2 linked regions of the Arabidopsis thaliana genome follow. The protein of the gene in region 2 purifies or fractionates together with the protein of the main gene of each other region. This does not show direct contact. Each region holds a gene or a part of one and is shown on either strand. Other genes may lie near its edges.

Region 1 (4,573 bases), on a different chromosome or scaffold from region 2:
AATCTCAAAACTCTTTCATTTGGTGGTTAAGTGAATTATTTCCGGCGAATGGGAGGAAATTCTTGATCATTAAAGATTATTTTCAATCACTCGTCAATCTATCCCTGCTTACGAAGAAGGGATTTATAGGGTGGAATGGGTTAACGAGTTTGAAGACCAGAACGTGTGGTTTAAAACATAACAGGGGCTGAGATCATAGAAAACATAATTCACGACAGAAACACATGCTCTAGCTGCGTTATGGACGGGCCGGGACTGCATAAAACTATTTGTTTCGGGGATAGTTTTACTTGTTATGTTTGGCTTGTGTGTATTTTTTGGTGTCGTGAATGTTTGATGTTATTTTAAATAGAGAGATAGAAGGAGAGGCCTTTGTTTCATGCTCTGACGTGACAGTGGGTCTCCTGCCTGCGACTGGTGATCACGGCAAGATGATTGGTCCGGCAAGGATGTGTCAGGTGTCCTAGTTTTCTTAAAACATTATAAGTATAGATCTTTGGCTCATGTAAAGACTTGGAAAACCTTATGTTTTGAGCAATGGAGTGTTTGTTCTTTTTGGAATTACATTGTTGTAAGTTTTCAAAGGTTGGACTTGAGATGTAAGTGGAAGTTTCCACAGTTGTAACTTTTGAAACATCTGCTTTATATAAAATAGTACCACTTTTTTGGAAAAAAAGACAAAAAAGAAAAGACTTGGGAAACCTTATGAATGTTAAAAGTGTTGCCACTTCAATACAAACATCGTACTTAAAAATACAAGTAACCACTTGGGCCATTACAAAGTAAATCAACCATCATATATATATACACAATCACGATGAATAATGTTTTTTGAGTATATTAATGAGAAAGCTTGTATGAGATGATCAAGATGATGGCGAGAACGAGAGCCACGATTACCGATGTAATGATCCATTTGTTCCTAGTCATTCTCCTTGACATAGCCGTCAACACCTTCTTGCTCTTGTCAATGGCGTCATCCACACCATGAAGCTGTGATTCAAAATCAGAAAAGTTAGCTTCTCAATGATCTAATTCAAACAAATCATTGGCACTGATAGATACCAAACCGAGCAATTGTAGACGGTACCTTGTTGTGCGCATGAAGGAGGGTTTGGCGTTGCTGACTCAAATCTTGGACAATTGAGATGCCAACCTCTTCTGTCTCCAGCATTAGTCTTCTACTCTCCCTGATTCTGTCACTTGATTGGTCAAGCCTCTCCACGGACATTGCCAATCTTCCTCTTTGATCAGCAGATACCTGGAACATGGACAATAATGTAAATCACAGCAAAGTCTTTGCCATCTAAAAGTTTGTGTGAAGATGAATATAAAGGAGGGTCCCCTCAGGACAAAGAAGCCTAACTGATGCAAGTCAATTAAGACAACTAAGATAATGAGAAAACAAGAGTTTCTATTTAGGAGTTAGAAGCTTACTGCATGCAGATCCGCCATTCCGGATTCCATCAACTCTTCACGGGAAGACGGCTTAGCATCTGCGGAAGAGACTCGTTTGAATTCCTTCTTCAATTGGTTCAGATCAGATTTATACTCTCTTAGTTTAGAAAGACACACAGCTTTAGCACTCGGCTGCAAACTTCTTGCCTCAAGATCCATTTTCCGGATCTACAAAAAAACCACAGAAGCATATATATTAATTTTAAAAAAGAAAGAACAGAACGGTAACAACATTAAAGCAAGTTAAATGCAAATACCAAGACATCAGCTTCGTCTATTCCAGACTTGATCTCAGCAATCTTCCCCTTCTTCTCCTCTATAAAAGCACACAACAATATCTAATCAAACCTCTACTCTGGTTCTATGGCACCACAAAATGTAACAACTCCATGCATGTCTATGTACTATAACTCCAAGAAAGACAGTGGTAACCATAGACTGACAAACAAATGAAAAAAAACACCAACTCAATAAACCTCTGCAGCTACATAACTAGGTTCTTATGATCTTATCTTCAGTCTTAATTTCTTCACAAAACTACTTGACCAATCCAAGTAAATTACATTCCCAGATACTACAGAACTCGTCAGATCGTAAACAAGCTAAAACGATTAGTAAACACTCATGCACCTCTACTTTACAAATACCCCCAAATTCGGACAAAATTAGATGAAATAGATTGAGAAACAAGTTAATAAATCTATGCAACTACATAACTATCTAGACCTAACTAGGTTATCGTCTTCTAATCCAAGCAATGAGAAACAGATCCTATGTCTCAACATTCCTAAATGTTACAAAACTTCGTCAGATCCTAAACAAGTCAGGACGATTAGTAAAGAACACTAGTCCACCAGCTACTTGTCACAGCTCAAAAGCTCCAATAACCCCAAATTCGAAGATTCGAATTTCTAAAATCAGGTAAATTCGAAGATCTCGCGTTCAAGATCCGAAATCGGGAGCGTCTGGATTTTACCTCCGTTGGAGAGAACCGATGCAGAGTGACATTTTCTAGAGAGATTGGTTGAGAGCTCGCAGTATTGACGCTCGTACCCTTCAAATACGTCGCTCATCTTCAATTATATGTTTCGATCTTGAGAAATTTGGTGGATTTTTTCTGATCAATCGGATCCTTTGTTTGATTGGATTGGATCGGATCTAGAAGCAAAACAGTTTCCTCTTTGCTTAAAGATAATCAAACAACTCTTCTTCTTCTTCCTTTGTATTTCTCTGCTCGGGGACAAGGAGGAACAATCAAACAAAGCGGTGCGTTTTATATTGACACGTGTCAGCCACTGCGTATTAAGTCCCCCATGCTGCAATCGATGCAAATGTAGGTGAGACAAACCAAACCGAATCAAACCGTTAATTAAGATTGAAATCTAAGTGTCTTTTCTCACTTTTTCAGCTCTCGGAAATAGTGTACATTTTATGCAGAACCAAGATTACTCGTCCAGGAAATAGACAAATCCATTGATAGAAGTCGAATCTGTTTTGCGTAACTATGTGGGATTCTTTGATAGTCTCATGAAATCAAAGAGATCTCAGAGGCTAAGAGTAAGATAGTCCACTCGAGTAAAAATGGGGGGAACAAGCAGAGATTCTCAAACTATATTAGCCAGGTGAAGAGAACCAACAGATATTATTAGAAATTCCACTTGGGATTGTTCGTGTTACATCACATTCATCGACTCAGTCATTATATTCTACAAGAGTACAAGGTAAACATAAAAAGGATCCTTTGGGCTCTTATAGCTCATTCTTGACCTTTGCATCCCCATTTGGTAACACACTTTGCGATTGCGCCAACCGTTTCGCTTCCTGAATATGACCAAAACTGTTTAATCCCCTTGACTTACTATAATATATTAATGAAGATGTACAATACTAGTCGAAGTTAACAACTTACAGCAGCAGAACTAGCACGGATTTCTCTATACATATCGACTTCATCAGGGAAATTCTGTTCAAGCTCCTCCAGAATATGTTTTCTCAAATCCTATTTATAACAAAATGTTGATTAAGAGACTCAGTAACCTTAAGAATCATACACAAATTAAGAATCAGAAGAAAAGGAGTCACCTTAAAAGCATCAGTCTTGCCCTTAGTAACTTGATTTCTAGCTATGCAGCTATTAAGAACATCTTTCGTAAACTCATCCGGGTTCTTCCCATCATCAATCAAGCTATACGAAAACGCAAACATAAGTAAGCAAGTAAAAGTATCTATCTTCAAAGTGCATACTAAAAACAAAAAGGACTTGTTTTCTCACTTAAGAACCTCCATGGGGATTTGAATGTTGCATTTCTCAGACAACTTAGTCATGTTATCTAGCTCCATCACAAGAGAGTTACTGCAAATACACACACACACACATATTCATTCAAACAATAGTTACAATACCCAAAACAATAAACACAGATGAGTAGAGGAGTTACTTACAGGCGCTGGAGGAGATGGAGTTGAGACGCGGGTGTGAAAGAAGTGACGGTAAGGTGTAACTGATGAAGGACTCCTAAAGTTTTCTCAATAGAGTTTATGACTTGGGAAAGATTCTCCTTTGAATCATCAGCAACGGTCACAGTTGAAGTCCCATCATTGGTTTGATATCTGATTGTACCATTGCTCCCACCAATCCCTGCACTTGTGTTCTGTGTTGGATCCATCACAAGCTGCCACAAAATATAAACTTGAGATATATGACCTGATGCGTTAGCGATAACAAAACAAAAACGAGAAAACGCAATTTTCGATCTCAAAATCAAACGAAAATTCTTCAGAAACCTTATTCAATTGGAGTGGATTTTGGTATCCAAATTTCTAATTTTAGATGCAAATTCCACAAAAACGCCCAGATCAAGAATAACGATAACAATAACAATTAGCGTAGAATGAAGATCCGTGACTTACCTACAACAGAGATGCGTTTGGCGAGAGTGAGGTGGAGATTCTCCGGACGAATTAGGTTTTCCTCCGAGCCTTACCGTGAAAACCGAAAAGGGACCGACGAAGACAGGGAAGCGGAAGATATTTGGACACTTTGCTGACGTGGAATATCATTATCTTGTATCTGTTTCGTTCATACTTTTATTTCATTCTTCATCAGCTGTGTTAA
Region 2 (5,004 bases):
CTGTGTTCAAGAAATTATTAGGGTCGTTTGAATATTTTTCCTTTATTTTTCGTTAAGGTTTTCCGTTGAATCCTGGTCCAAGGAGGAATCGAGTCTTTGAGTATAAATAGAGTTGTATCGAGTATTTGTTCTTCAGTCTTTTGTTTTAAGAAAATCAATAAAAAAACAAAAAGAGGTAACCCTAGTTACCCAAAGAGCTTGTGTTTGCATAGCACTGAGAGGAGTACTCTCGGCTCATTGTTCTAGTTCAAGAGGACGATCATCGTCTTGCACGAGTGTCACAAAATTTTGTTTAACATGAGCCTCAAAACAACTTGTCACGAGTTTCTCTATGAGTTTATATGTCTAGGTTTGCTAATCTAAAGTGTGTGAAGCCAACGCATTCGTTTTTGTTTTATTTTTTTCTCCCTTGCACAAAAAGATCATTTTCAATTTTTCATTATGAGTTGATTACTTGATTTCCTTCATGTGTTATTGAATTTGGAGGACTAGTGATTCTTGTAGTGATTATCACATTTTCCCACTAGGTAGTTTAGTGTCAGTTTATTTCTTAACTATAGTGATTTTAACCATTTACGGTTTACACAAAATACTTCTACAGATTTGGTAAAACGATTGGAAAAGAGAATTCAACTAGAAAAAAGAGAGGGTTACTGTTTGTTACAAACAAGACAAGCTGTTTTTCATTCTAAATTGTTGGCATATGACTAAAACAAAATATTCTTAAGAATTAAAAGAACAATCATGATCAAACAGAGTACAAGGAGTATAGTTGCACATTTCACCATTGCTCCTTCTCTTTGTGTTCTCTCCGCCTATTTAAAAATTGAAATGTCTTTGTGAGTTCCATACGGTGAAAAATCTGTAGTACTCACAAAATCTTATGAGTTTTGGGTAAAGAATCAAACCTTTTGTAGTTGTTTATAGCCTTCCTCGACCGATGTAGAAACGTTTTGGACATTGTAGTCTATCCGATCAACAATCGTGCCCTAATTGATACAAGAATATAAGAAAACTAATTGTTGAGAAGCCAGCAAAAACTTTGTATCTAGCCAGTTATGTAATTCATAAGCCTTTTAATGACTAAGCTAGGCACCTGGTCAATCACAAGGGCTGATAAGTCTTTCATTATCTGTGCAAGGTCATTCACGGAACCCAGAACCTAGACAGAACTCTGAAGTTAATCGCCATCGAAAATGTGAAGCACGCAGCTTCTTAAATATGGTCGAGTAACAACTTCCATTACCTGTTGTATCTCTCGTTCCCTTTCCGCTGAGACATGTTGCCCTTCCTTCAACTTGATTGTCTGGTGTTCATCGAAACCCTACAATTTATTGAAGACCAGCGATTCTCATTATGGTATTGGCAGAGTAAGGACGACAAGGTTCTGAAGATTGATTAAAAAAAATCTGACTCGTCCTAGCATGATAACCATAAGAAGTGTTTCTTAAAAATGTAAGGAAGACAAGGATAACTGATTAAAAATCTGAATTGCTCTAGCTAGATAACCATATTAAGTCCTTATTAATTTGTCAATGATATATAGTTTTACAATACAAGTAAGCACTTACCATCCCACCAAGTTCATCCTCTTCATCCAGTCTCGACATCTTTCCATTCACATTAAACTCTAAATCTACTTCATCCTGACCCTATGATTAGAGAAGCCAAATACAAATAAGAACATCATATTACGGTACATGCATGTCTCAAGAATCAACACTTTTTTTGTTTATTTCTTGAAAATAAAGGAAACATACCTCTTTCTGCTGCTGCAGACGTTTTAAGTAAGTAGACTGTTTTCTGCGGAGCTCCATGGAAAGGTTCTGAAGATCTGTTGCAAGAGAACGCTGTCAAAAGCAGTATGCCAAAAAGTAGGTCAAGTCCATTGGAGAGCCCCACTATACATGTACACAGAACTTTATCCTCATGCTACAAACTCAAAACATAGAATAACCCAAAGTACATTATATAGAGGGAAAAAAAAACACTTCATACATTTTGCTGACTGATAATGTCAACTAGATAGGTAGTCAAAACATATGAGAGTGATTTAACCCAAAATTCCTAACTTTCTTCTCTAAAAGCACAAAAGAAAAGGTAATGACCATGCATTCTTTATTGTTAACAAGCTCGATTCTGAAAAAGTGTCCAACAACCTACCTGCACATTTTTCCTGAGATTTGATTCTTCAGAAGGCCCTCTAGTAGATAACATCTGCAATCTCTTTTCTGACTTCCTCAACAAATCTGTGATCTCATGAGTGAGCATCTCGACTTCACGATGAATCCCTTTGTTATCTCCAAATGTAGGCATAAGAGCCTTTGAATGTGCCTTTGCTAGTTCATTCATTTTGTCTCGCACCTTTTGTATATTAAAAGTTATCTCCTCAGAATCATCAACCCAAGCTGGTGGCATACCAATTGTGAAGGCATCACTACTGCAAACATTCACAACAACACTTAAATCATTTGCTCATTCTGTTACCTAATTCGTTTAGGGTTCTAATTCTGTATCTCAAATCAATCCCATGATTACAATTCGTTTCTATATATAAGTTCATAGAATTTCCCAGGTTTTGCAGAATCAAACAACACATTATATTATTACCTTGATGGACCAGGATCATAGGAATTCAAAGGAGCATAAGAGGAGTGATTGGACCGGGAAAATGAACCGCTAACCATTTCGATCACCGGACCACCGAACGAATCAGACGCCGATAAAGATAATGGAGCACGCGCGCTCTTACACGCATCCCTGTGTTTCCGGTACACCGTCGTTCGATTCCTCGTCGCCATCAATACCAAATCAATTGATTCTCAACAGAATCTCGAAAGTAAAATTTCCCGGAGAAAATAAACAAAATCGGAGCTTTTGTCGTCGGCAAAAGCAAACGAATCTGAATCGCAAAATCGTTTCTCATTAGCGCGTGTTACAGACTTAGCAACGAAGGAGAAGTATTTGGGCCTTTTTAGGCCCATTTATATATTGGGCTTATAGTCCACTTGCGCGATAGGGTCAATATAAGTGTGTGGAGCACACGTTTTAAGACGGTGGCGCAAAGACGAAAATGCCCGTAGATTCGTGGCGGCTAAAAGTCAACAGAGGGACGTTGGTGGTTCAGGGTAAAAGAGGCTATAGTGACCGGTTAGGGGTAGTTTGGTCATTGGATTTAGCTCAATAGATTCGTGTCCATGGATTCCCTCATGTCGCCAGAGAAAAAGACCACATTTAAAGGTCTTGCCTTTTTGGTGTGTTTCCTCGCACTTTCAGGCTGAACAAAGTACTGACAGATGCTAATAAATACACGGAGGAAGAATATGCTCCTTTAATTATTATCTGAGATTTTTCAATTCAAGTTCGTGTGGATTCAGAATCAAAATGGAAGAAGATTTGTTGGGCATTTGTGGGTTTGATTCGTCGAAGAAATATCGATTAGAAGAACTTGCCAAGTATCAGTCGGGTTAGTGTAAAGATCCATTCTTTTTCCCAATTGCATTTAGCTTTGTTTTAGGGTTTATGCTTTATATGCAGGTGGTTTTAATTTCTTTATCAAATTTCAATTCTTTTGGCCCTTAAGGTCTAGTGAGTTTAAATTTTGTCACTTTATGGGTAAACTTTATGTTATGTAATTGATAAAAGTTTTGTGATGGTGAAATTTTTGTTTAGGTTCATGTATTGAGTTTGAAGATGATGATGAAATGGCAGTGGATTATCCATGCCCGTTTTGCTCAGATGATTATGATTTAGTTGAATTGTGTCACCATATCGATGAGGAGCATCAACTAGACGCCAACAATGGGGTAATTGCAACTCGTATCCATCTCCCAAATCAGTTACTGTTCTTTAAACTATACATTTGAGTTTTTACATGAAGCAGTTAGTTGTAAATTTAGACTATTTATCGTGTGATGTTCATTGTTGTACTCTAATGGTTACTTTAGTAGGCAGGATTGTGATTCTGTAAGGAGAGTTGGTAGGGACTTCTTGGATTTTAGTTCACTTGGATTATTTGCTTGATGCTATGAGGAACCATTTTGTAGTTGTGAAGTGTTTGGTGTGAGAAATGAAAACAGTCTTTTGGTGATGATGAATGTAATAACTTCTCACAAATTCAGCTTTGGTTGTGATGTAGATATGTCCGGTTTGTAGCAGACGAGTGAAGATGCATATGGTTGATCACATTACCACTCAGCATAGAGATGTCTTCAAGGTATCCTTTTTTATTTACTCTTCTTGCTTTCGTTACCATTTAGTAGAAAACTTGTAAGTCTTTTTGTGCTTATTCTATATCTTGGTATGTTTTATATCGGTTATCTGACATTTGTGTTCCTTGACGAATACTTACCTTGAACAAAAGCAGAGACTTTACAAGGATGAGTCATATTCAGCATTTTCTCCAGGGACTAGGAAATACTTACAGTCTCTAATCGATGAGCCGTTGTCTACTAATCATACATCTAAAAGTGTTCTGGACCCATTATTATCATTTATATACAATCCGCCGTCACCAAAGAAGTCCAAGCTTGTACAACCTGATTCATCTAGTGAAGCAAGCATGGAAGACAATAGCTTAATAAGGGATTCAACAGAAAAGTAAGTAATTCTTTGACATTTTCTTGATTCTGCTTGCTTTATCTCATCTTCTTAAACCTTGTCTAAAGATACATTTCGTATTTCTGTGTGCTCAGAGACTGGGAATCGCCGTCTCCCTTGTCAGATACAGAGCTACTAGAGAAGGCAAAGAAGAGAGAGTTTGTACAAGGTTTAATATCATCAGCCATATTTGATCACATTTACAACTTCTAAGAGCATAAGTCTTTGTATATGAAACTCTCGCAAAGTAGTCTGTACTCTGTAGTATAAGCCAATGAGCTTCTGTTTATCGTCAAACTTCTACTTTGCTTCTTTACAGCTCATAATCCTCAAGTCACTTGAGGTCGGAGTTTCCTTAACAACCACTTCTTGCGTAGTTTCACATCTAGAGCCAAGAAAGTTTTC

The links.
Region 1: the proteins of SYP42 (region 2) and VTI1B purify together in Arabidopsis thaliana (affinity purification with western blotting, with the first as the bait; one study listed by BioGRID). This does not show direct contact.

What each region holds. Positions count from the first base shown.
Region 1 is NC_003070.9:9,214,061-9,218,633, reverse strand, and holds VTI1B (Vesicle transport v-SNARE family protein), read right to left. Parts: upstream 2,865-4,573; 5' UTR 2,532-2,864; coding exon 2,435-2,531; intron 1,775-2,434; coding exon 1,716-1,774; intron 1,627-1,715; coding exon 1,438-1,626; intron 1,262-1,437; coding exon 1,091-1,261; intron 994-1,090; coding exon 841-993; 3' UTR 624-840; downstream 1-623. Other genes in the region: AT1G26665 (Mediator complex, subunit Med10), read right to left, coding at 3,208-3,279, 3,368-3,457, 3,541-3,643, 3,731-3,811, 3,901-4,124. UniProt on the Arabidopsis thaliana protein: Together with either SYP41 or SYP61, required for membrane fusion; the fusion of phospholipid vesicles containing SYP41 or SYP61 and VTI12 is triggered by YKT61 and YKT62.
Region 2 is NC_003075.7:969,392-974,395, forward strand, and holds SYP42 (syntaxin of plants 42), read right to left. Parts: upstream 2,952-5,004; 5' UTR 2,802-2,951; coding exon 2,611-2,801; intron 2,441-2,610; coding exon 2,164-2,440; intron 1,851-2,163; coding exon 1,761-1,850; intron 1,653-1,760; coding exon 1,572-1,652; intron 1,325-1,571; coding exon 1,247-1,324; intron 1,163-1,246; coding exon 1,097-1,162; intron 990-1,096; coding exon 909-989; intron 816-908; coding exon 708-815; 3' UTR 603-707; downstream 1-602. Other genes in the region: AT4G02200 (Drought-responsive family protein), read left to right, coding at 3,385-3,466, 3,673-3,806, 3,868-3,909, 4,139-4,216, 4,367-4,599, 4,695-4,812; AT4G02210 (Myb/SANT-like DNA-binding domain protein), read right to left, coding at 4,929-5,004. UniProt on the Arabidopsis thaliana protein: Contributes to the regulation of secretory and vacuolar transport pathways in the post-Golgi network, and to the maintenance of the Golgi apparatus and trans-Golgi network (TGN) morphologies.